7 linked regions of the Mus musculus genome follow. The protein of the gene in region 1 interacts with the protein of each later gene in a pairwise test. Links are inferred from orthologs where the notes say so. Each region holds a gene or a part of one and is shown in the gene's direction. Other genes may lie near its edges. The genes, in order: Flna, Rflna, Myoz1, Fabp1, Casr, Pelo and Hspb7.

Region 1 (4,982 bases):
TCATAGCCCTACCACAGGCAATGAAGACACTCCAGGCTGTGGGAGAGTCAACCATATTTGGGCATGACATGTTGGTCAACCCAAGGCCTCTTTCAGCCACTGGTCTTTATCTATCTATCTATCTATCTATCTATCTATCTATCTAATTAATTTTATGTGCATAATTTTGCCTGCATTCATGTCTGTGTGAAGGTGTCATATTCCCTGGAGCTAGAGTTACAGACAGTTGTAAGCTTTCATATGGGTGCTGGGAATTGAATCTGGGTCCTCTGAAAGAGCAGCCACTGCTCTTAACCACAGAGCCATCTCTCCAGCCCCGGCGGCCACTGGTCTTAGAATTGAGAAGTAGGGACAGAAGCCTGTCTTTCTGGAAAAACAATTTAACATTCTGGAGAGGCTTGAAGTACAGAGTAAGTAGATGGAAAAGTCTACCACGGGAAAGACATAGGTAAGATGAATCCCCTTAACTAAAGAGGATGGTTGGGAGTATCCCCTACAGTTTTCTTTTTCTGTATCTTCGCTCCTTTCTGTCCCAGCACAGCATCCTCATCACTATCTCCAGAGAATATCTATCATTAAATTAACTTTTAGTGAGTAGCTTCACACTACTTAGGGAACACACTCAGGCTCCTTAGCAAGCCTTGATGTCTGGTGACTCTCCTTTCTTCAGTAATCTGGGACCCTCTCCCTGAGCCCCTCCACATCTCTAGGGTCACAGCAAGGCTTGGGACTGTTCAGCCAGAGAAGACCTCTCCCCCCAGAATTCCTCAGGGCCCAAGGTAGAACAGTGAGTATGGCAGGTACAAGGTGTACAGATCTACATGCATCACAGGGCAGGCAGGCAGGCAGGCAGGCAGGCGCCCTCTGATTGTGTGCATTGGCATACCCTGGACCTTTGGAAAGCTGCTTGATCCTGTAGTGCTGGTGGCCACTTGGCCCAGTGCTGGCCCCATTTCCTCGCGGATGGAACTAGGCAGTAGAGAAGACGACGGTGGGAATGGGCCTGTGCAGGTGTGCAGGCCAGGGTCATGGAGACTGGGAAGACCAAAGGAGATGGGTAGGGAGTGCCAGGGCTCTGTGGGTGTCTATGTTAGGTGATGAGAGCCCTGTCTGACAGCATACAAAGAGCTCTCAGCAGCGTTAGGCGCTCTGGAAGGGTTCGCTCACAGGATTGCTTTACTCTGCTGTGGATCACACTGTGGCTGAGAACCCTAAGCTCGGGAAGAATAGAGAATGTAGAAGAGGGTACAGGGTCAGGGCGGAGCCCAAGTGATACCGGGACATTATTCGCTCCGCCTTCTGCAGGGACCTTGGGGAAAGAAAGTCCCTTGTAAGGGTGTGCCTGCTGGAGCTGAGCAATTCTGTGACAGAATTGCTCAAGCGTTCCTAGATCTGGGGTCCGTTTCCTGTAGTACTGTAGCGGATGTTGCCAGACCTTTTTGTGCTCTTTGGGGCTCAAAGACCCTTTCTGAAGCAGCGGGGCTGAGTTGCTTTTGGCGGAGTGCAGAGGCAGCTTCGGGGGATGGGGGCGGGGGGCGTTGTGGGGCATTCCAACGGGAGGGGCGAGGTGGGGCGGGCGCGGCCCAGAAGCCCCACCCAGAGGCTCCGCCCCCAAGGAAACTTTGCCTCTGGCTCCGCCTTTCGCATACATTTAAAGGGCTCGCTCTTTCCGCAGTGCAACCTCTGTTCTGTGCCTCGTCGTTCATGCTCGGAGGTGCCTACTGCTTTAATTAAAGGGCCGTCCCATCGGCGAAGCTGCAGCACCGCCCCTCCGTTCCTCGCGCCTCAAAATGAGTAGCTCTCACTCCCGCTGTGGCCAGAGTGCGGCGGTTGCGTCTCCGGGAGGCAGTATCGATTCACGGGACGCGGAGATGCCGGCTACCGAAAAAGACCTAGCAGAAGATGCACCGTGGAAGAAAATTCAGCAGAACACATTCACCCGCTGGTGCAATGAGCACCTTAAGTGCGTAAGCAAGCGCATCGCCAATCTGCAGACGGACCTGAGCGATGGGTTGCGGCTCATCGCGCTGCTCGAGGTACTCAGCCAGAAGAAAATGCACCGCAAGCACAACCAAAGACCCACTTTCCGCCAGATGCAGCTCGAAAATGTGTCGGTGGCGCTTGAATTCCTGGACCGTGAGAGCATCAAGCTCGTGTCCATAGGTGAGGGCACGGGCTACACTGGGGCGCTGAGTGGGTGCGGGCGTGGTCGCAACAAATTCTTCCTTTCTTCTCCTCTAGAGTCTCTCCTAGTTGTCTTCCCTAGCTGCTGCACACAACCAAGGCTACCACTAGGCCCCTTAGCCGCCTTGTTCTTTGAGGTCCTCGAGAACAAAAGGCTGGCCTGGCGAGCATGCGAACCGCTACGCGCCCCCGCCCGCAGCGCCTTGCTGGCCTGCTCCCAGGCTGAGCTCACATCCTCTGTAGGCCGCGCCCCCAACGCTGCACCCGAGGTGGGACAGGCACAGACTAGGCTTCTGCCTCTGAGAGCCGCACCCCATCCCTGGGATACCCATGCTTTCCACCTACAACAATTTTAAAAGTACCCTTCTAGCATTTGGCTGCCTCTGCAGTTCTAAAGTGAAGGTTGTAGCTTGTTCTCCTATTTATGTAGGACTCCCTCAACTTCTTGCCCTGGAACATGCTTCCCCATTGGAGATAGTTCAAATCCCCAGTTTCTTTCTTTCTTTCTTTCTTTTTTTGCTGAACTTGGAGGGGGGCAAAGAGATATACTGCTGGCAAAACTGTACTCCAGGTGTAATGAGTGTGGTTGACTAAAGGCACGAGCACTTGGTTGTTAGCTTTGCTGTCTATCATGGATCAAATTCTTGTTTCATTGTAAACCTTGGTTTTGTACATCTAGAATGCAGAGATTGGTTGAAAGGTGCTCCAATGTGCACAGGGTTTACTGCTAGTCCAGTTCCCAAGTCTTTGAACTGGAGAGGTTGGCATTGGTATTGTCTCTTGCAGGATCCCATGCTTTTCTCAAAGTAGGGGCTGCTCATGGACAGGCACCAGAATTGTTATCTTGGGAATGTGGAACAGGGAGAGTAGAAGAGTGGACCTTTACTCCATAATACAAAGGGTTTTCTATTATCCTTACAACTTTGGAATGGTACATGCTAGTTAAAACAGCGAGGGACCAAGGCCCTTCAGAGAGCAGATTTTAAGTGCTGAGTTTTTTTTTTTTTTTAAATGCTCATAGAGGTGTGCCAGTGGATGTATGAAAACTCACCCCTAGTCCCAGCCTCAGTCTAGCCAGCTGAGTCATTTCTAAGTCTTGGAAGGGGGCAACCGGATGTGGGGAGGCAGGCCACACCCCAGCTCTTTAGGGGGGGTCTCCTCCCTCCTTCTTTCTCCCCTCCTTCTTGTGAGCTGGCTGGAGCAGGCCTAGTTCCCAGAGCTTTGCCATATAAGGCAAAAAAATGTTGGAAAGCAGCAGTGATTAGGGGAGGGAGGGGGCCGGCTGGCCCAGGGGCTGGGGATAAGGGGTGGGATGGGGCGGGGCCATCTTACCAAGCTGCTTCCCAACACTGGGCCCTGATCCTCTCCTCTTGGGAGGGATATGAAGCTGGCATAGCTCACCTAATCAGACCAGGGGAGGGACCAGATGTACCTTACTGGGATGATGGGTCTGTCTTTGTTCTTCCCCTTGGAGACTACTAAGGACCTATGATCTCCTTGGGGGTTTTTGTGATGGGCCTGTGGCTTTGTTTGGTAGGGTAGGATCTTTGTGTCCTTGACTTTTTTTCAACTTCCTTTCCCATCCTCTCTGTATTTTGGAACAATGAAAAACATTCTCGAAGGGCCAGGACCAGTTTGTGAATGGGAAAGATCACTCTGTTTGAGAGGCTCAGATAGCAGTTCTCCAGGTGCTTTCCCACTGCACTGGAATGTTACCTGCTCTCTCAGTGATATCCTAGTTTTCATGACCATTCTCCATTGACTCACTAGATAAACATTCTCTGATTACAGGGAAGTCCTGTAGGGTTTCCAAAGATGAGCCTTAGAAAATGCTACTCACCATAAGCCATCCACCCTTGAGGAGGTTAAAGAGGTGGCTTTGGGTGGGGCTCAGGGGAGTTGCCATAGTGATGGGTGTTTAGGGTGCCCGCCCTAACCACTTCCTTTGTGGTAAGCCTGGTGGCTGCCTGAGACCTAGCCCGTTAGGTGGCAAGTAGGCTGGGTGGTGAGTAGCATCTAAGCAGGTTATGCTGAAACAGCAGGACTTAAGAACACCACCCAAGGCCTCTGCAACAGGGGTTCCCAAGTGCTCTTTGGCACCAAAGGCAGGCTAACCCAGCCTACTAAGGACCTATGGTTTCCTTGGCGGTTCTACTCTTCCTCTTTCAGCTGGGCAATGGGGGCTGTCACCCCAGAAGTTCCCTATAAGCCTCAATGAGTCAGAACTAAACATAGTTCCTTTGACTTGTGGCCCCCTTCCCCAAGCTAGCCCTCTTTTGTTCCACCTCCTATTTACTAGTTTGGGGGTAGAGAGACAAGGAAGTAGCAAAGGGTGGAGCTCGCACCCTTTTACACAAGGATCCTTGCCAACACTTCCTCTGTCTTTTCCCCCACTCTGGAGCAGCAGTTGTATTTCCTAACTACTCTTTGCCAACTTAGCCTTCCTCTTCTTTGGTTCCAACCCAGCTTGAGGTCAGGGGCCCTGTTTCTTGGCCAGTTAGGGCTGAGCCACTTCTCCCAATTCCCATAGATCTCAAGATATTAGGGCAGGTCTTGATCTCAGCAGCTGTACAGCATCCATCTCACTTGCTCTTCCACCCTCCTTCTGGGCTTTGCGGTTTTTGGCAGGGTCCCTTTTATTGGATTGTATTATGTGTCTATGGGAGTCTTTCCCCCCCAAACTCTCCTTTATCACAAAATATTTTCTTACACCATTTAGATGCCCTGGGCAGAGGGTGCCTGATCCACTTTCTACCCCTAGTTGGGAGGGGCCTCTTGTCACCTAATTGATTTGCTGT
Region 2 (4,846 bases), on another chromosome or scaffold:
GGTTCCATTTGGGCAGCCAAAACCCCAAGATCATTCCTACATGACAGATCTGGGCCGTATGCTTTTCTAATAACGGGGCTCAGCCTGCCGCTCCACTGTGACAGCCTCTGGGGCCAGCTTGCTCTCTTCTGCCATGGGGCCTTGTACCCTGCTATTCCCTTGACCTGCAATTCTGTTCAAGTGCTGCTTCCTCTGAGAGGCCCTCCCTGATTGACCGGCACAACTGCCTCTGATTTCTTTCCCCCTGAGGACTTGGCCAACCTACAGAGGAGGACACACCTCTAGGGGCCACTCTGAAGCTGGGGTCCCTCCCTCTCTTCAGCAGACATGGGGTAGATGGCCTAGCAGGGGATCACTTGTCTCCTTTGCTATATGCCATCCTGACATCTTCATAAATAATCTGCAGGTGTCTGGGCCTCTGTGTCCAGATGCAAGGCTGGAGGCAGGTGGTGGGTGGGATGCTCTTCAGTCCCTGCCAGCAAAGCAGGCAGAATGGGAACCATGTGTTCAGCTCTGGTGGTCAAGTGAGACGGGGTGGAGGCATAACTTTGTCCCCAAGTGAGACCTTTTAGAGCAGTGGTTCTCAAACTGTGGGTCGAGACCCACCTCCCTTGCAGGAAGGTGGAACGCCCCTAAGACCATCGGAAAACAGGTGTTTATATTATGGTTCATAACTGTAGCAAAATTACGCTTCGGAAGTAGCGACAAAAATCATTTCATGTTTGGGAGTCACCACAAGGGAAACCCCTGACAAAAGTAGGTGTTGGGGGCATCTGGAAGTGTCCCCGCTCCCCTCCCCCCTCCCCACTTTTGGGCAACTTCCTAACCATCTCTGTAGTTCAGTTTCCTCCAGAAAATGGAGAGCGTCTGCAAGCAGGCACTCACAGGCCGACTGGGAGGATTAAACAGAGACAGGAGGGCTGGCCAAGGGAATGCCAGCTACACATCAGGTGTCCTTCATTCCCCGCGCCCAAGTGGCCCCAGGCTTCCCTGTCCAGACGAATTCACCGAAGCAAATGGAGATGAGCACTTTGGTGGCCCCTAGGGCAGATCTTGACCCTGGGTTCTTAGATCATTCGGTCCCTCACTGTAAATACACCGCCCCACCCCCATCCCCAACCCACAGGTAGCTGAAGGTGCTTTTCTTGGAGACTCAAGCCAGGTGAGGGACGCTGCAACCTGCAATGGCCCGGCTGATGGCTGAGCGTCCTTGCTGAGGTGGCTGTGGACCCAAGTCAGCACCACGGAGGGTGGGTGGGTGGGTGGGGGCAGTGACTTTTGCAGGCTGGAGACTTTGCAGTCCTCACCCTGCCCTGGCCCAGTGGGTGGCCAGGGGGGCGGGAGCGAGAGGCGCGGGCGGAGGAGGGCGGGGAGGGGGCGGTGCCTGGGAAAGGAGGCTCAGCTGGCGGCTGGAGGCATTTGCATCAGGAGCGGGTCTCAGCTGGAGCCACAGGCCGGAGCCTCCTTGTTGCTCCTCTGGCTCAGTGGTGGCGGGGACCCGAGCTGCTGGGGCCCACGCCCCGCGCCCGCCAGTCATGGTGGGTCACCTGCATCTGCAGGCCATGGGGGACACGCGGGAGCAGAGCCGCGACGGCTTGCTGGACAGTCCCGATTCAGGACTGCCCCCCAGTCCCAGTCCTAGCCCGCCCTTCTACGCCCTGTCGCCAGGCACCCTGGACACCCGGACCACCACTGAAGCTCCAGCGGTAAGACCTGGGAATTGGGCAGTGGGAGGGCCGTTCAGAAGCCAGCATGGTCTCATCCCTCTTCTGAGGCAGACGTGGAGTGGCACCCGACTCACCAGGACCTGTAGGCTGGAAGTTTCGGGGTGATTGCTGTCAGGCAGGAATACAGAGTAGTATCCCGATGCCCCAAACTCTACAGACTTACAAGGGGGGCCTGTTGTGGCTATCTGTCCGTGGGTCCCGTCGCTGCTGCCACCGCCTCCTACCTTATTGACCTCCCAGGGCTTCTCAATGGAGGCATTTTTTGCAAACCCAGCTCGGGTCGAGAGCCTCCGTAGGTTTCGTCTTATAGGTGTAGAAGTGGAACTGTCCCCGGAGCTGGGACTCTAGGGGTTGGACACTCTGCCCAGGTTGCTCTGGCGACGGGGCAGAGGGAGCAACTTGAAGAAAGGAGTGGTGGAACAGAGCAGAGGTTGAACATGGCCCTGTGGCTTGATGGCCTCGGCCGGGTGTGTTAAGGACTCTCCCGCCAAGGTGTGCGTGCAGGGCGGCGCTGGAAGCATTTGAGGCTCCAAGCCACGTCCAGCATCCTCCTCCAGACATTTGACCCGATCCAGGGCACAATGTGGTTGTCGGAACTTTTCTTTAAATCTCCCCAGGTGACTCAAACATGCAAGGAAGTTTGAAGCCTGTCTTGAATTGAACTTCTGTGTCTCTTTTGGGAGGGTGGGTGGAGCAATCAAGGACTTTAGAAGTTAATATAATCGAGCAATGCTGTTCTTAGGGAGGGGGGAAAAAACTAGGAACCTCAATATGGATGTGATGGGGGAAGAAATTCCAGGGAACATTTTTGGGGATGGAAAGAAGGCACCAGGAAGAGGTCGCTTCGATTCCCTGTGACCCCGAAGCCTCCTTCTGCAGGGCATTCAGGATACTTCCCATGCCTTCTGGGTCAGCCAGAGGCAGTAGTGAGAATAGCTCTGCTGCTGTTACTGCTGCCTTTCCTGGCTAAGTAGGCGCCAGCTATGGAGCTATACTGCCCTGGTCTGTGACTTTGTCTGGGCAGGGAAGCCTGGGGGCTATTACTCAACGACACCTGGTAGATGACATTTCCCTCAAGCCAGGGATGGGTCTCCCCACTTCTGTTTAGTCCTCACAGTCTGTGAATGCTTGCTTGCTTGCTTGCCTTTGTTCCTCATGTTCTGGAGTCAGTCGAGGCGCAGAGATGGTTAGGAAGTTACCCAAAGTTGCCCAGCAGAATTGACCCCAGGAACCTGGCTCCAGTGCACATTTAAATCTGCCCTGGTTTTCACTGTGTAGTGCGTTAACGGCTTCTTGACTATTTAAGCAGAGAAATTAAATGTGTAGCCATAGGGTCCAGGTCATCAAGAGAGGAGGTAGTAGCCATGGCAACCCCTCCTCAGGTTTGGGGGTCCAGTTGTGGCCCCGCCCACTTGCCTATCTACCAGTTCCTACCCACAAGGGTCCCCACCTTCTTGAGTTCCATTCCTTCCCTACTGTATCATCTAAGTGCCAGCATCCTGGTCCCCTCTGAGGCCCTAACTCTGAGGCCTAGGTATAGGCAGGCTGACAGTTGCCAATCAACTGGTTGGTCTACTGTGTGGGATAAAAGAAGGATGCCCACATCTTGGGGAGCCAGTTTCAACTGGAAGAAGCTATTGGAAGGTGGTCAGGTGTCCCCTGGTGTCCTTACATAGCACCATCGTACTAGTGGGGAGCTACGGTCACCTTCACTGTGTGACACGGAGCCAGGAGTGAATGGCTACCATGTATGTAAGATTGACTGCTACAGACAGTCAGGGAATGACGCTGCAGAAGCCAAGGGTAAATCAGGGAGTGGATTTTAGGCAGATGGGGCGACAAACTTGTCTCAGTCTAAGAGGACGGCACATGCCAATGTCCTGTGGTAGAGCTTTAGAGAAGAGGAGGAGAATCTGGGCCAGGCTCTGCTAGGCTGAGGCTGAAAGCTAATGCTTTGTTTTTGTTTTGTTTTGTTTTTTAAAAAAACAGTACCATGAGCGCCCAGGACCCCCAAATTAGAAGCCTCTTTCAGAGATGTAACTGGAAAGTAGCCGTGTGTGTGTGTGTGTGTGTGTGTGTGTGTGCCTGTGTTGCCCTCCCACGTGGCCCCAGGAGAGCAAGATGTATTGGCTGGAATGGGGGCTGTTTGCCTGCCACCTTCACCCCAAGAATGCTCAGCCGTCCAGGCAGGACTGAGACGAAAGCAAACTGACCCTGGCTCTGCCACCCTGGTCTCCCAAGTTGGATTTCTGTGCCAGATGATAAACACCAGGTGCCCCCGCCCCCAATACTTCCATCACAGAGCTGTGGTGTGTGGGGCAGACATGGCGGGAAGCCAGGTCCTGCTGGCTGAGAACAGGTCTGTGTCAGAAACAGGCTCCAAACACTAGACAAGCAGTTTGGGCACTGCCCCCTCCCCTGCCCCCGGGCACCCCTCCTCATCTAGTTTTATGGCCCACAGGGGACTATGGGTGACTTTTGGGATCTGACCAGGGCAGCTCTCTAGGTATTTGCTTAGACCACAGCCCCTTCTATATGTGTGTGGGGTGGGGTGGGGGCGGGGCTCACTGTTGAATGACAGGGGGTGACAAGAAGCAGAGTGGGTTAGACTCTGCCTCCCCAGGGTCTCCTGGTTGATTCATAAGAAAACCTGGCTTCAGGACAGGATAGAGAGCTGCTGATGACAGGCTGGACTATCAGGAAGGGCTGTTCCCTCCCACCTCCCCCCGAGTGGGCCCTGGTCCAAGCGGAGAGGGAGGGGCATGGTAGATATGACTACTTTGGGGGCCTTCTGATGTGTTTTATAAAAATGAAAAAAGAGCCAAGGGTATGTTTGGTGGAGCAAAGAAGTATGTTGAGGTGGGAAGAGTGCCTCTGCGAGCCCATGCTGAGGCATCCCTTCCCACTGAGGGACCAGCCACAATGGGTATAGTGTAGAATAGAGTTTATTTAGGGCGTGGGAGTTGAGAAGGGAGGAGAGAGGTGGGGGGAGGCTGGCCAGGAACATGTGGAGAGGGAGGGGATGGGGAATGGAGAGAGAAGGGGCAGAGGGTAAAAGGGACCCAACAAGCCCCTTCGATAGTAAGCCGGGCAATAGCTGGCTGTTGCCAGGTAACTTT
Region 3 (4,839 bases), on another chromosome or scaffold:
CAAAGATGATATATCTGGGCAGCAGCCATCTGCTGTGTGTGTGGGGAGGACTTTCAGCCCCCAGTATAAATAAGGCAAGAATAGGGTGGAAGAAGGGTGTGGCCAGGAAGATGGGGATAGATCAGGGAGTTCACAGAGGGCAGGGCTCATTCTGGAAGCCTCAGAAGCTGCTTCCTGTGAAGAATGGGAGCAAGGAAGGGTTGTGAGTGTGAGTGTGAACAATCCAATGGCACATGTGTAAAAATGTCATAAGGATTTTTGAGACAAGGTTTTCCTGTATAGCTCTGGGACTTAAGAGATCCACCTGCCGGTGCTTTAGGGGTGTTGAGATTAAAGGCATACATCACTATGCTGGGCTCAAGAAACCTATAGTTTCATATGTTTACTAAATTACACCCATGCCCACCCACCCCCAAAAGCCAATTCCTTAGGCAGCCGTATAAGAGTAAAAGGTACAGGAGCAAGCTGGTTTCAGGACATGAGTGGGAGATGAGGGAGGATCCAGGGTATTGCTTCAGCTCTCACCCTTCCTAATGCTGTGACCTTTGAATACAGTACCTCATGTTGTGTTGACCTGCAACCATAAAATTACTGCTATCATCATCATTTTAAAAATTTATTTATAGTATGTATATGAGTACACCATTGCTCTCCTTGGACACACCAGAAGAGGGCATCAGACCCCATTGCAGATGGTTGTGAGCCATCATGTGGTTGCTGGGAATTGAACTCAAGACCTCTGGAAGAGCATTCAGTGCTCTTAACCACTAAGCCATCTCTCCAGCCCCTATTATTATTATTATTAGTAGTAGTAGTAGTAGTAATTATTATTATTATTATTATTATTATTATTATTATTATTATTATTATTTTGAGACAGGGTTTCTCTGTGTAGCCTTGGCTGTCTTGGAACTCACTTTGTAGACCAGGCTAGCCTGGAACTCAGGGATCTACCTGTCTCTACCTCTCAAGTGCTAGGATTAAAGGTGTGCACCACCCACCATGCTTGGCATCATAAAATTATTTTTGTTGCTACTTCATAACTGTAATTTTGCTACTGTTATGAATTATAATGTAAATATCTATATTTGAGATATCTGACATTGACCCCTATGAAAGGGTTGTTTGACCCCCCATGGGGGTCAGGACCCACAGGTTGAGAGTACCCACGGGCCTTTGTAAGATCATCTGCACTAGGGTTCACTAAGTTGGTTCCTCACCCTGTCAAGATCTAACCCTCTTAGACAGAAAGCCAACCTATTCAGGAAGTTAGAAGCAATGCCACTGTGAAAATTTCCATCCTATCTTCAACTTAGGGCTTTAATCCCTCCCACCCACAAATACACTCATGGGTCCCCTCCAGCCCTGGCCTGGAATGGCCCTGAGTAGCCCACAATTCATGTTTTCTGTTTTGTTTTTTCCTATACCTACTCTTAATTCTTACCCACCACTATCTGCTCCCTCTCGGCCTCCTGAAATGCTTCTTTGGAGAAAGAAGGCAAGGAGGAGGCACACCCCTTCGGCTGACTGATCCCTGGCTCAGACAGTCTGGTGGGAACATTTTGTAGCCCTGTTTCCCTCTTCCTGAACCTCAGGCAAAGAGGGCAGGCTCTCGGTTCCAGGGTCTCAGTACCCCCTGTGCCATTTGAGCTGCTTGTGTTCATCAACTCTATTAATAACCTCCTCCCTCCCCCACTGCCGGTGCTGCCCCTACGCTCGCTCGCCCCGGCTCAGGTTCTCTAGTCACTGCAGCTTAGTCCTCCGAAGCTGCTGGACCCCGGGGAGAGCCGACCACCAACTGAGCAGCTGGTAAGTCTATGGTTCTATCTACCGGAAGAAGGGGCTGGAGCCCACTCTTCTGAGCTCCTTGTTTGCAACTGTGATTCTCCATCCTCAGGGAATGGTCTCTCTTCTCATCTCTGCTCAGCTGCCAACAGTCCAGTTGGAGTTACAGAGTTGGAAAGAAAGGGACCTAAGGAGTTGGGAGGAATTAAGATATGTGGGGAGGTACCTGACAGATGGGAAAGGGTGCTTTGGAATGCCACTAAGTTGGTAGAGTGTGGTTGTGTTTGTGAGACAGGACACCACGGAAAATAGCAGGGCTGTTAGGGAGAGGATGGTGTGCATACATTTTCTTATCTTGTCGCCATCCACGGCCAGATCTTATTCCTGTGTTTCTGTTCCCCCCACAATTCTCTACTTCCACGTACTATATTGCTGAGCTGACATCTGCCACAGCTCAAATGCCCTTAGCTAGCTCTCTGCTCCAGCCCTGAACCTTGGGATCGGAGTGCCTGAAGGAACAAGGAACATACCCATGACCTCTCGGGCCACGTTCCAGCTGGCCTCCTGGAAGATCAACAACCTCTCCTTCCTATGGAGAAGGTTTCGTCTGAATCTCAACACTAATTAGCAGAACATTGCTTTACGCCCATGGACCCCAAGGGAAGCCTAAGGAGGAGACTAGAGTCTGGAGCCACAGTTGTAGTCTGATATCCCGATACAAATAAGGACTTTAAGTCACGCCAGGCCCAGGAAGCCTGAGTGCATTGCTCTGCCAGTGTTGCTTTTGAAACCCCCTTCGGCCCTAGCTGTATTTCCGATGCCCACACAGGAGCTATGGAAAGTGGACACAGCCCTTGGTAAGAGATAAGGAAAGGGTACAGTTCTTCCTCCTGTCCTGCTTCCAAAGAAAACAGAAGACTGTGACAGTTTACGTTCTGGGGAATACTAATTTCTGTAAAGACGTATGCATGCGTGCACACACACATGCAAACATGCACATGGAAAAAAAACTGAAGAAATTTTGTCCTTAATCCCAAGTGTACGGCTGTAGTGCGGATGCTCATTCTCCCACTCCATCTCTCCTTCCAGGTCAGATCCACCTCCACCATGCCACTCTCAGGAACCCCGGCCCCTAACAAGAGGAGGAAGTCAAGCAAACTGATTATGGAGCTCACTGGAGGTAGGGTGTGCGTGCTTGTAGAGCCCCAATGCAGGACTTTTAAGAGCATGCCTGACTCAAGAGTCCCAGAAATGATGTAAGACAGGATATAAGTCAGAGTGAAAAAAAAAAAAAAAAAAAAAAACAAGAGGAATTGCAGCTGTAGAGGGTGTGGGAGACGGGATGATGGGAGGGGTGAGAAGGGGCAGGAGAAAGACACAGGAAGAACTCAGCATCCACTCTGCATCCTCCCATCCTTCCCATTGATTACTCTGAGACAACACCCTGCTAAGATACTGGACATTTTAGCAGGACCCATAGTCAGTCAAGTCCTGTGAGAACACAGGCTAGGCCTCACCAAATGGTTAACTTCCTTATTTCTTTCTAAGTGTTAGGGAACTTGTGTAAGCATTTAAAATAGGAAACTACACAGCCACACTCCCTGGGGATGCGCACGAGTTGCCAAGTGTGAAGTTCCCCTGATACCTTTGGAGTGAGAGTTCACTGAAGAAAAAAAGAAAGGAAAGAAGAGCAGGATCTGTGTTTAGAGGTGTGAAGCTGCACGTGGGATTGGCCTATCAGCTTTCCCGGCCCAGGGTGTAATTTCTCCCTTGGCTACTGTCTGTGGTGTTCTCTTATTCTTGTTCTCCTTCACTCCACGCCCATGCCCCTTGGCTGGGTCACCTCTTCACTGAAGTATTCCAACCCTATATGTCATTCCCTTTGTTCCCCTGTACTGTCTCTACCTCCAAGCCAGGAAATCAAAACAAAACAAAACCACTTCTTATGGGCTACGAATGGTAGTGCATGCCTTTAATCCTAGCACTTAGGAGGTGGCAGAAGGAGCCGGGGCAGGGGGCAGGGGCAGGGGCAGGGGCAGGGGTAGGGAACAGGGGACAGAGGCAGGGGGAAGGGGGAAGGTGCAGAGGGAAGGGGACAGTGGGCAGGGAGATCTTGTGAGTTCAAGGCCAAATCAGTCTAATAGTGAATTCCAGGCCAGTCAGTGCTACATAATAAGACCTTGTCTCAAATACACACTCACTTACACACACACACACACACACACACACACACACACACACACACACTCTGAAGAGATGGTGAGATGACTCAGTGGTTAAGAACACTTGCTGCTCTTGCAGAGGATCCAGGTTCAGTCCCCAGCACATACAAGGTGGCTCGCAACCACCAGTAACTCCAGTGCCAGGGCATCTGAACCGTCTTCTCACCTCTATGGGCACTAGGCATGTATTTGGTACACATATATACATGCAGGCAAAACAGTCATAATATAAAACATAAATAGATTTTTGAAAAATCTTTTAAAAGACACACAAGACTAACAAAAACTTGTAAACCATACAGACCCGGTCAGCATCCGCTCCCTAAATGGTCTCTTTTAGAATATACTCAGCTGTGGGGGATGCTTCCCTTCCCAGTCCAGAAAGCCCTCATTTCCTCTTTCTATTGATTCTTCTCTACCTCCTGGATAAGGTGGCCGGGAGAGCTCAGGCCTGAACCTGGGCAAGAAGATCAGTGTCCCAAGGGATGTGATGTTGGAGGAGCTGTCCCTTCTTACCAACCGAGGCTCCAAGATGTTCAAGCTACGGCAGATGCGGGTGGAGAAATTTATCTATGAGAATCACCCCGATGTTTTCTCTGACAGCTCAATGGTGAGTATGGACGTCAACCACTCTTGGCAAAGCCCGGTGTCTTTCCCGGCAACTTCTCAGTAGCCCCCCAAATTCCCCAAATACCACCAACCTTCTCTCCATGAGAACTGAGGAGCTCTTTATAAGCTGCTACATATATTACATTCCCAACCAGTCTAGGGTGGGTAACAGTCCATTTCTGAAGCTTAGTCCTCATCCTAGAGCACGTGCAGGCATGAGGAC
Region 4 (3,490 bases), on another chromosome or scaffold:
GGCGGGGTTTCTCCTGATTGGTTCATGACAAGGGTTGGGGTGTCAGTTTTACTACAGCCCTTTTTCAATGTCCACTGTAGAAGCAGATATTTGATGTCTTTTGCTCTTGATTAGGATTCTCCCCTCCATCCCTCTCTTACTTCCTTTCCTTTCATTCTTTTCCCCCCTTTAGCATTTTGCCATGTAGCCCATACTAGCCTCAAACCCAGCATGCTCCTGCCTCACGAGTGCTGGAAAGCCTTAAAGTACTGTGCCCAGCCATGATTCTATTTACTACTGTCCTTGATGTATACAGCTTGGAATTGGCACTACAATAGAAAGAAAGAAAGAAAGAAAGAAAGAAAGAAAGAAAGAAAGAAAGAAAGAAGGAAAGGAAGGAAGGAAGAGAGAAAGGAAGAAAGAAAGACTCAGTAACCACCGAAGTAAAATGAATTCCCACCCCCACCCCCAGCTGCTGATGATTGGAGTTTTTCTACCTCCTCCCTCTACAAGCTTGAGAAATGGGATTTTATATTTTATTTTCAGATTTTTCCCCCAGGGCAGAACCACTTAGGTAAGCTTGACATTTTCTTTCATTCATAAATATGCCCTATTTCCATTTAGCACCAAAGAACTGGAGAGGGACAGGACATTTGATTCCTTGTCAGTTGATACCATGCAGGGAACCAACTTCATTAGCTTCATTGCCAGGCCTTTGCTCACGGGCCACCCTCTGTCTTCCCTGCAGGCAGTCGTCAAGCTGGAAGGTGACAATAAAATGGTGACAACTTTCAAAGGCATAAAGTCCGTGACTGAACTCAATGGAGACACAATCACCAATGTAAGTTGACCCTCTGGTCTTGCCATCCAGTGCTTGAGGTGAACGGTACGGTGTGTTTGTGTGAGTGTGTGTGTGTGTGTGTGTGTGTGTGAAGGATAAGAGACAGCTGGATGCCATCTCTCATTCTTCACCCTTTCCCCCCAAGACCTGGACTCTCTCTTCCTTGCCTCTTGTCAATGTCTTCTACCACCTAAGAGGATGCATATGTACTACGGAGTTGATAGATATCAGATCTATTGAACAACACTTTTCTAATCGGAGAAAGTAAGGCAGAGACCAGAAGAGCAGGTCGAATGGCAGCATCAGGGTTTCCTGGCCTGGGTCTGTCTCTTAGGCTAATCTCACAGCAGTTCATTACTCAAGCAAACCCCAAGGGAGGCTGTTTACACTATAGACAGTGAGGATTGCACTCAGGACACCTGCAGCCATCTTGTTCTTGTCAAATCACGGCAGAATATCAGGGTGATTCCCTGACACATAGAAGAGCGGTATCTTGAGGGAGGGGCACCCTTTTCTAATTCACCTGGTGTCTCACACCTTCTTGTGCTCCACTTTCAGAGTCAGCCACTCCCCTGCCTCTGCCTCTCTCCTCCTTGTCCACTCCCTGGCCTTACCCTTTTCCCAGCAGCAGCAAACGGGATGGGTGAGGAGGTGTGTGGTGTGCTGAGGCACAGGACAGCATGTGCAGAGCATAGCTGGCCTTGCCCTGTTTCTGCGGCCATGGGGCCTCACACCTCACACTCAGGCCATAGGACAGAAGTCCATTCAACCCAGAGATGTCCCAGACTTCACTGTGTCTGCAGACATCCTGTCCAGGAGGCCTCACGACTGAAGTTGCAGCAGCACTTCCCATCGATGAAAACCTCCACAAGGGAGGCTTTGTATGTCCATCGATGTTCCTATTTGATGACATCAGAGTGATTAACAGCCTTAGCACTAACCAATGGGCCACACAGCCATCCATCTTCCACAGCCCAGGTGCCTAATAAACACCTCTGCCCACTTGGCATTGGTGTGGAGTCATTCATTTATCAAGTTTATGGCTGCTAATGAATGACACGCTGGGTATGCACTCCCGTGCAGTCATCCTCCATGCCCAGCTGTTGGTCATGTATTGCCCCCGCTACAGTAATTCATAGTGTTTCTCTCATGGTCAGGTCTTCCAGCTTTCCTTTGTATCCAAAATGCACCTCAGTCAGGTCACAGAAGGCAAACCCCTGTCTAAGTGACCGCATCTGGTCAAGTGAAAATCCCCCTGCACCGTGGAGAGAGGGGGGCATCAATCAGGAAACAACATTCACGCCCCACACTCTTGCCCCTCACTCCTACAAAAGAGCAGGTGTGTTCAGTGTTCTCGTGTGCTCATTCACACCGTCCATACAGTAAGAGGGAAGTAGATAGCACCTACTACGTTCCAGCCTAGTGGCCCACTGTACATATGCTTGTGTTCAGCCACAGGTAGTTAATGTGCAGGAAATCTCAATGAAATTTTGAAAGACAGCTCTCCCTCCATATGAACAAGAGAAGTGAGGAGACCCAGCATGCTATTCTAGAAAAGGTTGCCAATCGCGCCTCAGCTCCGAGAGAAAATGGGGATTTTTCAAGTTGTTTAATATGTCAGCACATTTGGGACTATTTGGGGCGGTTACTTTTTGTTTGTTTGTTTGTTTGTTTTACAATTCATCATCAAGAAAATATTTCATAATTTCTCTTTTGACTTTCAGACCATGACATTGGGCGACATTGTCTACAAGAGAGTCAGCAAGAGAATTTAGACAAGGCTATATTTCATATTCTTTTACAGTGTAAAATTAATACAATAAAGTTACCTTTCTTTTGGAATAACTTCTCCTTGATGGCTTCTCATTGTGGTGCTGTTGTTTTTATTTTATTGGTGTGTGTGTGTGTGTGTGTGTGTGTGTGTGTGTGTGTGTGTTGGGAATTGAACCCAAGGTCTCACACATAAACTCTATCACTGAGTATAACCCAAACCCTGTTGTTTTCAGTGATCCTTGATCACCGATAATTTTTTAAAATTATAATCTGTGTACATCACTCCATATATTCAGATCTGTAGTTTAATTTCACCCTGAATACAGATTTCCAACTCATGTGTCCTAGTCAGGAATGTTAAGAGTGGCCAGATCTGTAGAGTGTCCAGTGGACCTTTTGCCTGTCAGCCACATGGGCAAGAAACTGGAACAAGAGGGTATTCAGGACTCTGAGAGAGTCCCTGCATAAGGACAGGGATCCGGAAGACCAAACTGTCAAGGGGGAGCCACTGCCGCCGTGAGCACAGCCACAAATGGCCATCCAGCAGTGGACAAGCTCTAAACGGTTGGGCACTCAACTACCAAATTAACATCTTTTTCTTTTATTGGAGGGCTTAATGTACAGATGTGGCACAGGTGTAATTCCTCCCACAACATGGACAGAAGCAAAAAGCAGAAAATGGAAGCAACTCTCTGAAATCTACATTGTCCCAAACTACTAGGGGTTTGATATGAGTTTAACAGCAGGCAGCAGAAATCTACACATTGAAATCCTAGTGCCCAGCAACTCAGAATATGGCCTTATTTGGAAACAAAATTACTGCTGCTGTCTAAGGCCATAGAATAATATGGTAGGCTTCTAATTCAATAAGGCCAATATCCTTTTTGTTGTTGTTGT
Region 5 (4,968 bases), on another chromosome or scaffold:
TAGAGTCAGGGTCCCACGCTACTCAAAACCAAGCCCTGTGGAGGATGCATATTCATGCACGCTGTTCAGGTGGCCACGCCCTTCACGTATTCAAGCTGACTGAGGGTAAGCCTCAACTCTACAGCTTCATAGCTCTTCCATCCTCCATACCGTCACCTCCACGGGCTCCAGTCTCCCATGTAAAATGGGCATAGCAATTGCTCCTGGGAGTGTCACTTAACCAAACCCCAATTCAAACATTATTGGAGAGAATTAATACAACCTGATCATCTTGGGGTCTCTCTCTCAGCCGCTGGGTTGAATTATGCTGTCTGGTCCAAGCAACCATATTGTTGAGATTCCATGGTTGATTTCTCCCTGTTGTGGTTAGGAAACACTATCTCATACCAAACATCATGGGTCCCTGCCTCTTACAATCTTCCTCCCCTCCCCGATCTTTCATAATTTCCCATGAGCCTTAGGTGCAGTTGTTTTATGGCAGGTGTATCAGTTAGGGTTCTCCATAGTCCCTTATTTTCTGTATTGTGTAATGAACAGTCTCTATCTGTTGGGAAAAAACTCCCTCCCCCCTTTATTTTTTAAAAAAGAACTACACTTATCTGTAGAAACATGTCTGCCATGATATGAGTTCCCCTCTCAAACCTAAGACTTCTCTAAGCACAAGTAGTTAGGTTTATGGTACCAGGCATGAACTCATCCCTATGGAGGGAGTCTTAGTTGATTAGACAATTGATGTTTATCCCCATGATAAAAGTACCATTATTGGACTACTATGGATGTCTGGCTGAAATACTCATTGTGGTTCATAGGAATAAACACTATCTGTTCTAAGAAGACTGGGAGGCACCGAAGTCTCCATGCTTGCATTGTAACGGTTGGGTAGGATTCCATTAAGCCACACTACCTTAAGTTCTTTAACCTATTTCCTATTGGCAGGTTCGGTGTTGTTCACTTGTTGCTTTTATTTTGGTGTGTGTGTGTGTGTGTGTGTGTGTGTGTGTGTGTGTACACATTCATGTGTGCTGGCCTTTCACCTTACTCCAGAACAATGTCTGTGGCTTTATAAACACGTTAGCGCCTTAAGGTCTCCCATTTTGATGTAGGAGTCCTGGGATTGCAGACACGCTATGCAGCAGGTTTCGTATGGATCCCAGGAGCTTGAACGTAGCTCTCCTCTGTGCTTGATGGGCATAGCTATAACGCCATTGTTTAAATATTATTATTTTATGTTGAAAATGAACCTGTTATATATATTTGCATCGCAACATTATTTTATTCTGGAAATTACTACAAAGTACTGCAAAAATTGTTTTGGCTGTTTCTATTTGTTTAGTTTGTGTTCGTGTGTTCGTGTGTTCGTGTGTGTGTGTGTGTGTGTGTGTGTGTGTGTGTGTGTGTGTTGGCTATCAAATTGCCTACACAAAGGAGTTGATAGGCTTTAGGGCTGAAAAGCAAATGCTGGGTTTCTACCAAATAAATTGATTTTTCCATTTCATTCAAGTATTATGATGAGTGGCCAGCGCTGAGCCAGAGCCTGAGCACAACTGTGAGCCAGGCTGGCCTCTCCTACCTTCAAGAAGCACACCCTGATGCTGGGGCAAAGCTTACCAGATCTCTGGGGTAGTGGAGGGAGGGGGCTGTTTGTGTACAGCCCGCTGAAGCAACGCTGGAGTCTAGCAGAACGCCTAAGAGTGTTTATTATACTGTGAGTTCTGGATCTTTACTAGGAAAAAAGTGCCCCATCCTCTGGCACAGTTGCCTTGTGATCCTCTTTCCATCTCCAGGGAGGAGCGGGAAGCGTGTGTGCTGCGGGGAAGGAGGGGGTTGTATCTTCCCAGACCAACAGCAGGAGCAGGATCGGAAGCCTGGGATGGCTAGAGCCTCATCGCAGACAGGAGGACTCCAGCGCTAGACCTCGGTCTCTCAGGTACCAAACCCGACAGGTGGCCTAGGGGGAGGGACGTCGCGCCCGCAGCGCCGGAGCGCACAGCTCAAAGGCTGACCTGAGAGATCGAGGGAGCCTGGGAGATTCCAGGCGGGCTAGGGCACGGACTGTAAGTGTATTTGGAGGGATTTGGGGGCCATAGACCCCAGGAAGCACGCAGGCGAGAGCAGGCAAGGGGCGGAGCCCCGAACCGGGCCACAGTGGCCGTCAGAGGGTCTGCTGGGAGGCAGTGGCTTGACCCAAGGCGAACAGGGAACTTTAGAGGGTAGCACGCTACTCAAACAACTTAACTTGACATCGCAAGCCCGGCAGACTGGTACTGCATCCTGAGCTCAGCATCCAGCTGGTCCTGGGGAAACAGGGCCAGCAGGTGTTCCTGTGGAAAGAGCCACGACAAGGACTCCAGGTAGGACTTGGGGACACCAGAAGTGCGGGCATAACGTACCCGAGTGGCAGAGGAGGCTTTGATGAGGTTTGGGGGCAGCGAACAGTAGCAGGTCAGACCTGGGAGCCCTGAACGCTGGGCTTCAGGGATAGCGGATCGGATGCCTACAAAGATGAATAGAGTTCACAGTAAAAAAAAAAAGTGGGGTGTGTCTTGTGCCTCCGGTTTATTTATCCCTGTGACAGTCAAAGAGAACTTTTCCCACTGACAAGGAGAGAGGTAGCTTTCTGGCGCGGGCGTGTGTGTGTGTGTGTGTGTGTGTGTGTGTGTGTGTGTGTGTGTGTGCGCGCGCGCGCTGCCCTACCAAAGTACTTGCCTCAGTGGCTCCAAATTAGGGTGTCTGGTCACCAGCCTCCATATTCCTTGGAGGTAAAAAAAAAAAAAAGTAAGTTGATGGAGTTATTGTTTTGATATTGTAGTTTTTGATTAACAACACACACGGTAAACTTGGAAATAACACCAATGCATATCTAGAGACCAGTTTCCTTTCTAACATGAGTTTACTCATTGTGCTTTCTCTCTTCAGTTCTGAGTCTTTTATCTCCCTCCTTCCTCTCTTTCTCAGTATTCTGAGAAAGAGGCATGCTGGGGAAGAGCTCCTAACAAGTTCCCACCCGTTCTTCTCCAGGATTCCTCAGTGCAGTAAAGTGGTGCGGTTCACTGTTGGGGGAGGTGAAGGAGGGCTGTCTTGCCAAACTCTCTGCCGCCTAGAATTCATTCCCCCTCCCATTTGGACTCCAGGCTCCAGGTTCCCAAAGTGGCATGCTTGGGGTGTTCCCTCTGGAGGACTTGGAAAAGTGAGCTTTTAAATTGGCCCTGTGAACAGGGCAAGGCTTTGTGATAGGCAGAGAAAAAAAGAAAACACAAAGGAAGAAATCAGGGAGACCAGGGAACAGTGAGGGAGCAGGAGACCAACATCTTTGAGAGCAGAGGAACCCCGGGCCAGCCCCTGTCATTCAGGAGCTGACCCTGGGGAGTTTTGCTAAGGGAACACATGTGGTCTTCATGCTGATAACTCACATCATCAACTCTTTTCCATAATCAACGAATCAAACCATGTTTGTAGATTAAGACAGAGTAATTGGTCTTATTTTTTTTTACCGGTATAGGAGGTTCTTTAGAAGCTGTGTAAACTGTTTAAAGTAACCTCCATCTATGCCAGTGTCCCTTGTTTTCCTCATTTTTCCTTTGTTGAACTGGATCCTGCAAAGTTCAGGCATTAGCTGTTCCCTCTCCTGCAGACTTAAGGATGACGTTGTAACTAGAGAATGGATTGGGCTGGGTGCAGGTGCAAGGCTGATGAGGGGGTAGTGCATGACTTATAAACAGAGACACAAAAATGTAAAAAACATCAGTATTCACTTAACGTGTTTGTAGAGCCTAGCTACACACCAGATCCTGGGAACAAGATGGTCAATAAGACCAGACAAGGAACCTGCCCTCCTGGTGCTTACAGATGCTTGGGGGAGGGCAGCTGTCAGTAAAATGATTATCGACTATGTAATTGCAAGCTAACATAAACCCTCTGAGGGAAAGACACAAAGTCCACTGTGGGTGTACATAGATGGGTCTGTGAGACTTGGGAAGGCTTTCCCAACAGAGCTCACTGACCCTGAGGTTCTAGGGTGATCAGGATGAAGAAATCTGATTTTTGAGGTGAGGTCAGACCGTTTTGATTAGGAATAGCATTTGGCTGCTGGTCACCAAACAGACTGGCTGCTATGAAACTTTTGTCCCTTGATGTGTGTCCACGTGCTGTTGGTGTTACCGGCGTGAGGGGAAAGAGTGTCTTGTCGTCATAGGCTGGCTGTGTTGTCTGTTGGCCGTGGTTTTTTTCATTGCTATAATTCTTGCTTTTGAATGAAATGTTCAGATTAACTTAACTCCTATGATTTCATTTTATTGTGTACCATAAAATGTACACTGCTGTATAAATGTGAATCATGCACCTTCCCATTGAGAAGGTAAATACGGAGATAATACTTCTGCTGCTTATGTGGTGACAGTTTGGCGTTATCACTGAATAGCATCCCAGGTTAGAATAGCTGTGGCAGGTGGACTGCAAATATTGCCCCTCTATCCCTAGCTACTGCTCTCATTGGAAGGATGTGTCACACACACACACACACACACCCTGGGAACTAATTCCTAGCCTTGTATACTCGAAGCTCCAACTCTGCCTTGAGCCACAGCTTCAGCTTGTGTATTTCAGAAGAGAGGGGTATTTAAAAGATTTAGAGTTTTAGTTACTATAGATTTTCATAACCAGCTTTTTAGTAAAGGCAAATATATTGTAACATATTAACAATTGTGGTGACGCTGTAAATGAATAAAAGTCCCACAATGTAAGGTCACAGCACAGATACTCTAGAAAGCCGTGTGCTTCACGTTCGTCCAACATAGGCTTTCATTTATTAAATGTGATCTGCAGTAACATTTCTATGTGCACAGAACCACGCTAACCATTGTGGGTAAGATGGATTAGAAAGCCACAGTCCCAGCATTTAAGGAGTCCATCCCTCCTCTTAGGGACAGAACTCGTATATACAGGTGGAGGTATCATGAGCAGGGAAGAGAG
Region 6 (4,276 bases), on another chromosome or scaffold:
TAGGTTGATTCCAGTGAACAGGCAAAGCTGTCAATCAAAGGAAGCAGCAGGGGCTAACAGCACATAGCTTGCCTTGGCAGAGAGGGTTATGTATATAGGACGGATTGTTCATGGTGGTAGTGGGTGGGGCTAATCCGGCCTGGCTCTGAATGCCAGTTACATGATTTTGAGAACATTTGTTAACTTCCTCCTAACTTCGTTTTATTTATTTATTTATTTATTTATTTATTGTTTCAAATTAGGGTAGCATTTTCCTTATAAGAGTGAGAAAGTGCTTGAGAAATTTTCAAAAGTTGACAGTATTTCAGGGAAAACCTTTCATTCATTAAGAGTCCAGGAAGGTCTACTTTCTTGCTTTAGTGAGACCCGTGCCTGGTTCGGTGAAAGGCTTTAGAGGAACAAAGCAATGTGAGTTAGAGGCTCTGTGATAAGAAGATGGTAAATTAGATGGGAGGGGGGTGCGGAGTGGGGGGAGAGAGGATACAAAGCAAGTTAAGGTGCAAATTTATACTGGAGTCTTGGACAACCACCACCACCCCCGCAACACACACCAACCTCTAAGAAAGATGGCTGACATCAGTTAACACGATTAACCCTCCCTTTAACCTCCTCTCCTCAATTAAGGCTCTGCTTTAAAATCCTTACACAAAACGCAGTGAGCGAGCCTAAGTGGTCAGGATTTCTCTGCTCCCCCCACTGTCTTCATTCAGAAAGAGACTTCTCTGTATTTCCATCGCCACTGTACCAAAGGGGATGGGAGAAACGGAATGGATTTTTGTTTATTTGTTTTTCTTTTTCTTTTCTTTTCCTTTACAACCAACTCTTTGGCTCTTCTTTTGGGGTGGTCATATTAGATTAGCTTATCTTTACTTCCCATATCCTCAACTTTTGGCTAGTCAGTGGCAGGGAAGATCGAGCGCTAATCTACTGCAGTCCGGCTCCCACACTGAACGCCTCAGAGACTACTGCGCTGAGTCGGCCAACTTTGGATTCTGGGATTCCCAGGACATCAATCAGGTCAAGCTACATAGAGGTCCACCAGGGGTACATTCCACGCATTCCACTGCTCTCTCTGGGCTCTGTCCTTTAACATCTGGGTTAACTGGATCGTGCAAACAGGGTAACAGGCGCAGAAAACAGCTGGACACGTTGCTGAGCCCAGACTGTACGTGACTAGTTCTTAGAAACCGCTTCTGGATCTCTCTGAGCCAACAAGCTCGTCGGTCTGAGTGCTGGTAGGGAAAGAGCGAGCAAAGCCAGGCAGAGTTTGAACTTCGCCGGGGATGGGGGGGGCAAGTCTGAACTTTTGAGGGCGCTTTTCACTTTTATATAAGTTCTGAAGCTGGCTTCACGCTAAGGTGCAGAATGATAAATCCAGCTTAAATACATATGTTTGCATTCACGTACTTGGCATGTGCTCGCACACAGGGATGTGCCGGGAAAAGCTTAGCTTTTCAGAGCGCTGACCGCCTCCTTTGACGTTTATCTAGGGCGAGCCTTTCCTTTTACTGCGCCTGCGTGCGCGCGCCGCCGACAGGCCCCGCCTCTCTGGTAGGGACCCACAACAGACTTGCGCCGGGAGGCGGGCTGCGCCTGCGCGATCGCCGCGTCAGCCGGTTTCGCGGGGCCGGCGACTGGAAGTCCCGAGAGTTGACTCGTGCTGAGCGTGAGGTTTGCCGCGCCGCGCGTGGGCCAGCGCGCGGAGACTTGAGAAAAAGCGTGGGGTAAAAGTGCTGTCCCGAGCTGCAAGAGTTAGAGGTAGTGTTTCCTTCCGGGCCTGAGCCCGCCGCCCCTTCCCTGCCCCGGCCCCCCCTCCTGGGGACACCCCCCCCCCCCCTAGCGTCCCCTGTTCTGAACTGAGCCCCTGCTGAGGTCATGAAGCTCGTGAGGAAGGATATCGAGAAGGACAATGCGGGCCAGGTCACCCTCGTCCCCGAGGAGCCCGAGGACATGTGGCACACCTTCAATTTAGTGCAGGTGGGCGACAGCCTGCGCGCCTCCACCATCCGCAAGGTCCAGACCGAGTCCTCCACAGGCAGCGTGGGGAGCAACCGTGTCCGCACCACCCTCACCCTTTGCGTGGAGGCCATCGACTTCGACTCCCAGGCCTGCCAGCTGCGGGTGAAGGGGACCAATATCCAAGAGAATGAGTATGTCAAGATGGGGGCTTACCACACCATCGAACTGGAGCCCAACCGCCAGTTCACCCTGGCCAAGAAACAGTGGGACAGTGTGGTTCTGGAACGCATCGAGCAGGCTTGCGACCCGGCGTGGAGCGCTGATGTGGCAGCTGTGGTCATGCAGGAGGGCCTGGCCCACGTCTGCTTAGTCACGCCCAGCATGACCCTTACCCGGGCCAAGGTGGAGGTGAACATCCCCAGGAAACGGAAAGGCAACTGCTCCCAGCATGACCGGGCCCTGGAGCGGTTCTATGAACAGGTGGTCCAGGCCATCCAGCGCCACATAAACTTCGAGGTTGTAAAGTGCGTTCTGGTGGCCAGCCCTGGATTCGTGCGAGAGCAGTTCTGCGATTACATGTTTCAGCAAGCTGTGAAGACGGACAATAAAGTGCTCCTGGAAAACCGCTCCAAATTCCTTCAGGTAAAAATCTTACCCAGAGAGAGTTTCCTAATGTTTTAGAATGGGGAGGAGCCGAAGGCTTGGCTGGGACTATAAATGAGATTGTAACTGAACCCTGCAGTATCTAGCACTTTAAAAAGTTGTCCAAGTCCTTAAACAGGTTAGGCCTTATTCATGTGTTTGTCAAATGTCATCGTGGGCTGATTAATGGATACTTTCAGAGATTCTTTGTCTTTTATAATTGTGATTCTAGGTGCACGCCTCCTCTGGACACAAGTACTCCCTGAAAGAGGCCCTCTGCGACCCTACTGTAGCGAGCCGCCTTTCAGACACAAAGGCAGCGGGCGAAGTAAAAGCCTTGGATGACTTCTACAAAATGTTACAGCACGAGCCCGACCGAGCGTTCTATGGACTCAAGCAGGTGGAGAGGGCCAACGAAGCCTTGGCCATAGACACTTTGCTCATCAGTGACGAGCTCTTCCGGCATCAGGATGTGGCCACCCGGAGCCGGTATGTCAGGCTAGTGGACAGTGTGAAGGAGAATGCGGGCACCGTAAGGATATTCTCTAGTCTCCATGTGTCGGGGGAACAGCTGGGCCAGCTGACGGGAGTAGCCGCCATTCTCCGCTTCCCAGTGCCAGAACTTTCTGACCAAGAGGATGATTCAAGTTCTGAAGAGGATTAAGACTGGCAGTTAATAGTTTCTTCCCTGGTTTTCTCAGCATCCTTGGCAGGTGCCAGAGCAGCACTTGTTGATCCTGCTGGGGTTTCTTGTGTGTTGGGTTCACATTAAGTGTTTTATGATTTGGTGGGCAGGACATGTATTCAAATTAAATAAATCACGACGATGTCCAAGCTTATGTTTTCTAGTTCGAGTTACTGTTTTTTAAATACCTGGAAACAGCAACTTGTGTAGTTAAGAGAAAAAAAAAAAAAAAGAAAGGCTGTTTGAGGGTTTGATGATGAAACCCCACATACCAACTTTTCTTGGTTTTCCTCCTAAAAGGCTTTTATCTCTTTTGATGTTTATTTCCATTCGACTTGGTGTTTCCGAATTTCATTTCATGCTCCACTTTTTTTCACCTCTTTCTAGCTTCCCCCTCCCCTCCCTCACCCTTCCCCCCTCCCCCCCCCCCCCCCGCAAGATTTTGACTACATTCACGATTTGAAGTGGTAGCCAAACAGTAAATAAAGCCAGTCTAAATGTTATTTTCTTTCAGGGATTTGTTAAACATCATTTTAAAGATCTGCTTGTTGCTCTTTGTGGTTCTAATCTATTTTCTGTAGAGAAATTATTTTCAGACAGTAGAGGTTTGATCTCCTAGACATCTCAGCATAGTCTCATCAGGCCTCTACAGCTGAGGTGAGAGTGTGGCTTGCTTACTGTGTGGCTGATGAATGGGGAAACTGGACGTTTCTTGACATGGAAATGGTACCATATCTTCCTGTGTTTTATTTACTATGGCTTGTCAGTGTTAAATGTTCCCAGGGTGCCTGTGGCATTAGTCTGTGCGCTCATGTTCTTACTGGACTATGCTATATTTGAAGAAAGCATGTTCAGGGAGTTGAGTGATTCATGAAGTTGTAGTCTAGTAATCCTTACTGTAGATGAGGAATTTCTACAAATTACCGTTTAGAATATTTTGAACTACATAGCTTGGATCTCAGAGAGAGGGAACCTTGGAAATTAGGGATT
Region 7 (3,066 bases), on another chromosome or scaffold:
CCCTGATTTATGTTCCTTCCCTGTCTGTACCCAGGGTAAACTACAGCCCTTTCCCAGTGGGCTCACGGGCCAGGGACCTTTACAGTCCCTCTCCAACCTAAGGGTCACAGAACCTGTCTTTGGGGACCATGCCATGGCACCTGAGGACCCTCTAGGGATGGGCAAGGGATCCTGGGATGAGGTCAGAGAGGAACCTGAGTGATGGAGATGTAAGGGGGGTGAGGAGATGAGGACAGTCACCATGGTGGAAAGTGACCACGGTGCAGGAGGGACAGCTCCCTGGCACAGGGTAGAGGAGGTGGCAATGACACACCCAACCTGGGCAACACGGTCCATTCCTACCACATCTCTACCTCGCCTTCATCCCAGAGCCAAAAGTCTGGGTCCTGTCGTGGCACCTCCATACTGGGACTGAGGCTGAGCAGAAAGCCCTGAAGCTGAGTCACAACCACCCTCCACCTCATGTACCTTACCCGGAGTCTCAGGGTACCTAGATCATCAGAGGAGCACGGCCAGCAGCTATCCCAGCTCTTAAGCCTGTGCTTAAGGATATTCTTAAATATTCTTAGAGGATATTTATCAACACCTTCCTGCCACCCCCAAGCCTGGCTAGCTCTCCTAACTCAGGCTGGACACTGGGAAACCCTGCCAGGGGTTCGAGGACTGCGCCACTGGCCGCACGTGCCAGCCCCACATCCCAAGAGTGACTCAGCCAGCCAGCTCCACTGAACACTATGTGCTGGGCTGCTCGTGGGGGAGGGCAGGGGCCCTGATGTGGACACTCAGGGTGCCTGGGGAGCCAGAGGGCACAGCTGTGTCATCTCCCCACTATGGCTCAAGAATCTCAGACTTCCAGTCACTGCTGTGGAAGCTCAACCCTTATTGAGCCCCACCCAGCCCCATCCTATACCCAGCTTCCCTGGGGACCCCTAGAAGGCCTCTGAGTCCCTCTGCACAGCCCTGGGATCCTGGGCACCCCAACACCCCTGGCCAGATCTTTTGTACCCTGATAGCTGAACCCCTCATCACACAGTGGGGTAACTGAAGACAGAGAGCAAAGACGAGACTCTGGCTTGATTTTGGGGTGAGGCTAAGGCTAGGGCAGCCATTCCTGACCTGTCATCTGTCCCCCAGCTGGCAGCTGATGGCACAGTCATGAACACCTTTGCTCACAAGTGCCAACTACCAGAGGATGTGGACCCAACATCGGTGACCTCGGCCCTTCGAGAGGATGGTAGCCTCACCATCCGGGCGCGGCGCCACCCCCACACAGAACATGTCCAGCAGACCTTCCGGACTGAGATAAAAATCTGAGGGTCTCTCCACCCCTGGCCTCCCCCTTATCTCCTCCCCCACTGGCCTGCCGGTGAGGTCACCATGATCCCTGACAATGACCCCTCAGAACATCTCAGCCTAGGCCCCAGTCACTCCACACACTCTCAGGCCCCAGGTGGGTCACCCCTGCCCCAAACTAGGGCATCCCTCTCCATCCAACGCAGTCCAGGGACCTGTCTGCTCTCACCCAGATAGACCCTCCCTATCTAAGTTCACAATAGAGGGGCTGAGGTACCAACCTGGAGAGCAAGACGAGGGCAGAGTCTAACACAGAGTGGCGGCTTCAATGGCATTTCTGCAGGGCAGGGGACCAGAAGCCCCTTCCTGGCAAATGAGAGGCTGGCCACAAGCAGGGCTTCTGGCCTAGGTAGACTGCCTCAGGGAAGCCAGAGAGATAGCCATGACTGTTACCTTCCTTGTAACTCTCGAAACCTCAAACCCAGGGCTACCTGTCACCCTGAGGCTCTAACAGCTACATGTACCAGACAAAGACACCTGTACCTAGATGGGGTTTATTAAAATGACATGAGGCTCCTATCTCCAGCTGCTGGTGCATGAGGCCAGAGCCCAGGGCTCCTGGGTGGCTTCCCCTGCAGAGAGGGTCCTCTTTGGAAGTGAGAGGAAGAGCCAGGACTTGTACACACACACACACACACACACACACACACACACACACACACACACACACACACACACACACACACACACGCGCGCGCGCGCGCGCGCCATTGTCCTATGCCTTAAATACTCATTCCCACTGGTTGGAGCCCAATTCAAAGCATTCTAAGAGTCACAGTTAGCATCTCTGTTTTCATCAATGGAGACTGGCGTCTCTGAGCCAGTTGGATGCCCAGGTTTGTCTCTGAAGCCAGCGCTGCCTCAGCGGCTCTCAGACTCTCCCCTCTGTGTACTGGGGACACTTCCCCCCCATTCCACCTCTCCTGAGCCACATGCCCTGCTTCGCCCTAACTGCAGATGGTGGCCACAAGAAGAACCCCAAACCAGATCTCTTCTGGCCCCCAAATTCAGGGCAAAAACCCTTGTCAGCCTTAACCCTGGGGGACCTGGGCTCTGACTCAGTCTCTGCGTGTAGAATCGGGTGTAAAGGGGGAAGCTCACTGCTAATCGGGGTCCCAGGGGCCTCTACAGTCTTAGGACCCTGTGGAGGAGGGGGTGGGGTGGGGTCGTGGGAGTCTAGTCTATAACCTGTACACAATAAAAGGACAATATGACAGACTTGTGGAGACCCCACCTGAAGTTCGACCTAGGAGGAGGGACGGAGTGGATGGGGAGGACTTCTCGGCTGGGGAAGGAAGCTTAAAGTTTCCATGTGTGGGAGAGGTATCCTATTCTCAAACCCGCTTGCAGAAATCCCCGCGATTTTCTTCAAAAACGCTTACAGCACCTGTCTCCAGGCTGCCTGCCCTTCGCTTTGAATTCATTCTTTAGTTCAAGAGGAATGTCTGAGCTGGACTCAGCCAGCACTGTGTTCTGCACTGTCACAAGCCAAGGGCTACAAACGTAGCCTTTCTCCTGGATGAAGCCTCGGAGGCCCAGAGAAGCTAAGTGATTGGCCCAAGCTCACACAGCTCCGAAGATACAACCAATTGGAATCAGGGGGTAGGGCCGCTGCAGGGTGGGGTGCTGGATAGATGTAGGCTTGGCGTGTTCTGGGTGGAGGGGGGTCCCCTCGCTCCTTACCCACCCCCCAGCCCCAGGAGCTACTGAAAT

The links.
Region 2: the proteins of Flna (region 1) and Rflna interact in a two-hybrid assay, tested with the Homo sapiens proteins (2 studies listed by BioGRID). The two-hybrid records come from large-scale screens. The link is inferred for Mus musculus from reciprocal best matches to the Homo sapiens genes FLNA and RFLNA.
Region 3: the proteins of Flna (region 1) and Myoz1 interact in binary tests that used the Homo sapiens proteins (3 or more experiments, as listed by UniProt). The link is inferred for Mus musculus from reciprocal best matches to the Homo sapiens genes FLNA and MYOZ1.
Region 4: the proteins of Flna (region 1) and Fabp1 interact in binary tests that used the Homo sapiens proteins (3 or more experiments, as listed by UniProt). The two-hybrid records come from large-scale screens. The link is inferred for Mus musculus from reciprocal best matches to the Homo sapiens genes FLNA and FABP1.
Region 5: the proteins of Flna (region 1) and Casr interact in a two-hybrid assay, tested with the Homo sapiens proteins (2 studies listed by BioGRID). The link is inferred for Mus musculus from reciprocal best matches to the Homo sapiens genes FLNA and CASR.
Region 6: the proteins of Flna (region 1) and Pelo interact in binary tests that used the Homo sapiens proteins (3 or more experiments, as listed by UniProt). The link is inferred for Mus musculus from reciprocal best matches to the Homo sapiens genes FLNA and PELO.
Region 7: the proteins of Flna (region 1) and Hspb7 interact in binary tests that used the Homo sapiens proteins (3 or more experiments, as listed by UniProt). The two-hybrid records come from large-scale screens. The link is inferred for Mus musculus from reciprocal best matches to the Homo sapiens genes FLNA and HSPB7.

What each region holds. Positions count from the first base shown.
Region 1 is NC_000086.7:74,243,245-74,248,226, reverse strand, and holds the start of Flna (filamin-A), read left to right. Parts: upstream 1-1,692; 5' UTR 1,693-1,790; coding exon 1,791-2,163; intron 2,164-4,982. UniProt on the Homo sapiens protein: Promotes orthogonal branching of actin filaments and links actin filaments to membrane glycoproteins. Anchors various transmembrane proteins to the actin cytoskeleton and serves as a scaffold for a wide range of cytoplasmic signaling proteins.
Region 2 is NC_000071.6:125,002,033-125,006,878, forward strand, and holds the start of Rflna (refilin-A), read left to right. Parts: upstream 1-1,415; 5' UTR 1,416-1,535; coding exon 1,536-1,706; intron 1,707-4,846. UniProt on the Homo sapiens protein: Involved in the regulation of the perinuclear actin network and nuclear shape through interaction with filamins. Plays an essential role in actin cytoskeleton formation in developing cartilaginous cells.
Region 3 is NC_000080.6:20,653,402-20,658,240, reverse strand, and holds the start of Myoz1 (myozenin-1), read left to right. Parts: upstream 1-1,700; 5' UTR 1,701-1,809; intron 1,810-2,874; 5' UTR 2,875-2,892; coding exon 2,893-2,965; intron 2,966-4,438; coding exon 4,439-4,617; intron 4,618-4,839. UniProt on the Homo sapiens protein: Myozenins may serve as intracellular binding proteins involved in linking Z-disk proteins such as alpha-actinin, gamma-filamin, TCAP/telethonin, LDB3/ZASP and localizing calcineurin signaling to the sarcomere.
Region 4 is NC_000072.6:71,202,360-71,205,849, forward strand, and holds the end of Fabp1 (fatty acid-binding protein, liver), read left to right. Parts: intron 1-727; coding exon 728-820; intron 821-2,544; coding exon 2,545-2,595; 3' UTR 2,596-2,675; downstream 2,676-3,490.
Region 5 is NC_000082.6:36,558,813-36,563,780, reverse strand, and holds the start of Casr (extracellular calcium-sensing receptor precursor), read left to right. Parts: upstream 1-1,646; 5' UTR 1,647-1,927; intron 1,928-1,978; exon of another isoform or gene 1,979-2,351; intron 2,352-4,968. UniProt on the Homo sapiens protein: G-protein-coupled receptor that senses changes in the extracellular concentration of calcium ions and plays a key role in maintaining calcium homeostasis.
Region 6 is NC_000079.6:115,087,519-115,091,794, reverse strand, and holds Pelo (protein pelota homolog), read left to right. Parts: upstream 1-1,636; 5' UTR 1,637-1,875; coding exon 1,876-2,601; intron 2,602-2,833; coding exon 2,834-3,265; 3' UTR 3,266-3,440; downstream 3,441-4,276. UniProt on the Homo sapiens protein: Component of the Pelota-HBS1L complex, a complex that recognizes stalled ribosomes and triggers the No-Go Decay (NGD) pathway.
Region 7 is NC_000070.6:141,422,745-141,425,810, forward strand, and holds the end of Hspb7 (heat shock protein beta-7), read left to right. Parts: intron 1-1,134; coding exon 1,135-1,314; 3' UTR 1,315-2,566; downstream 2,567-3,066.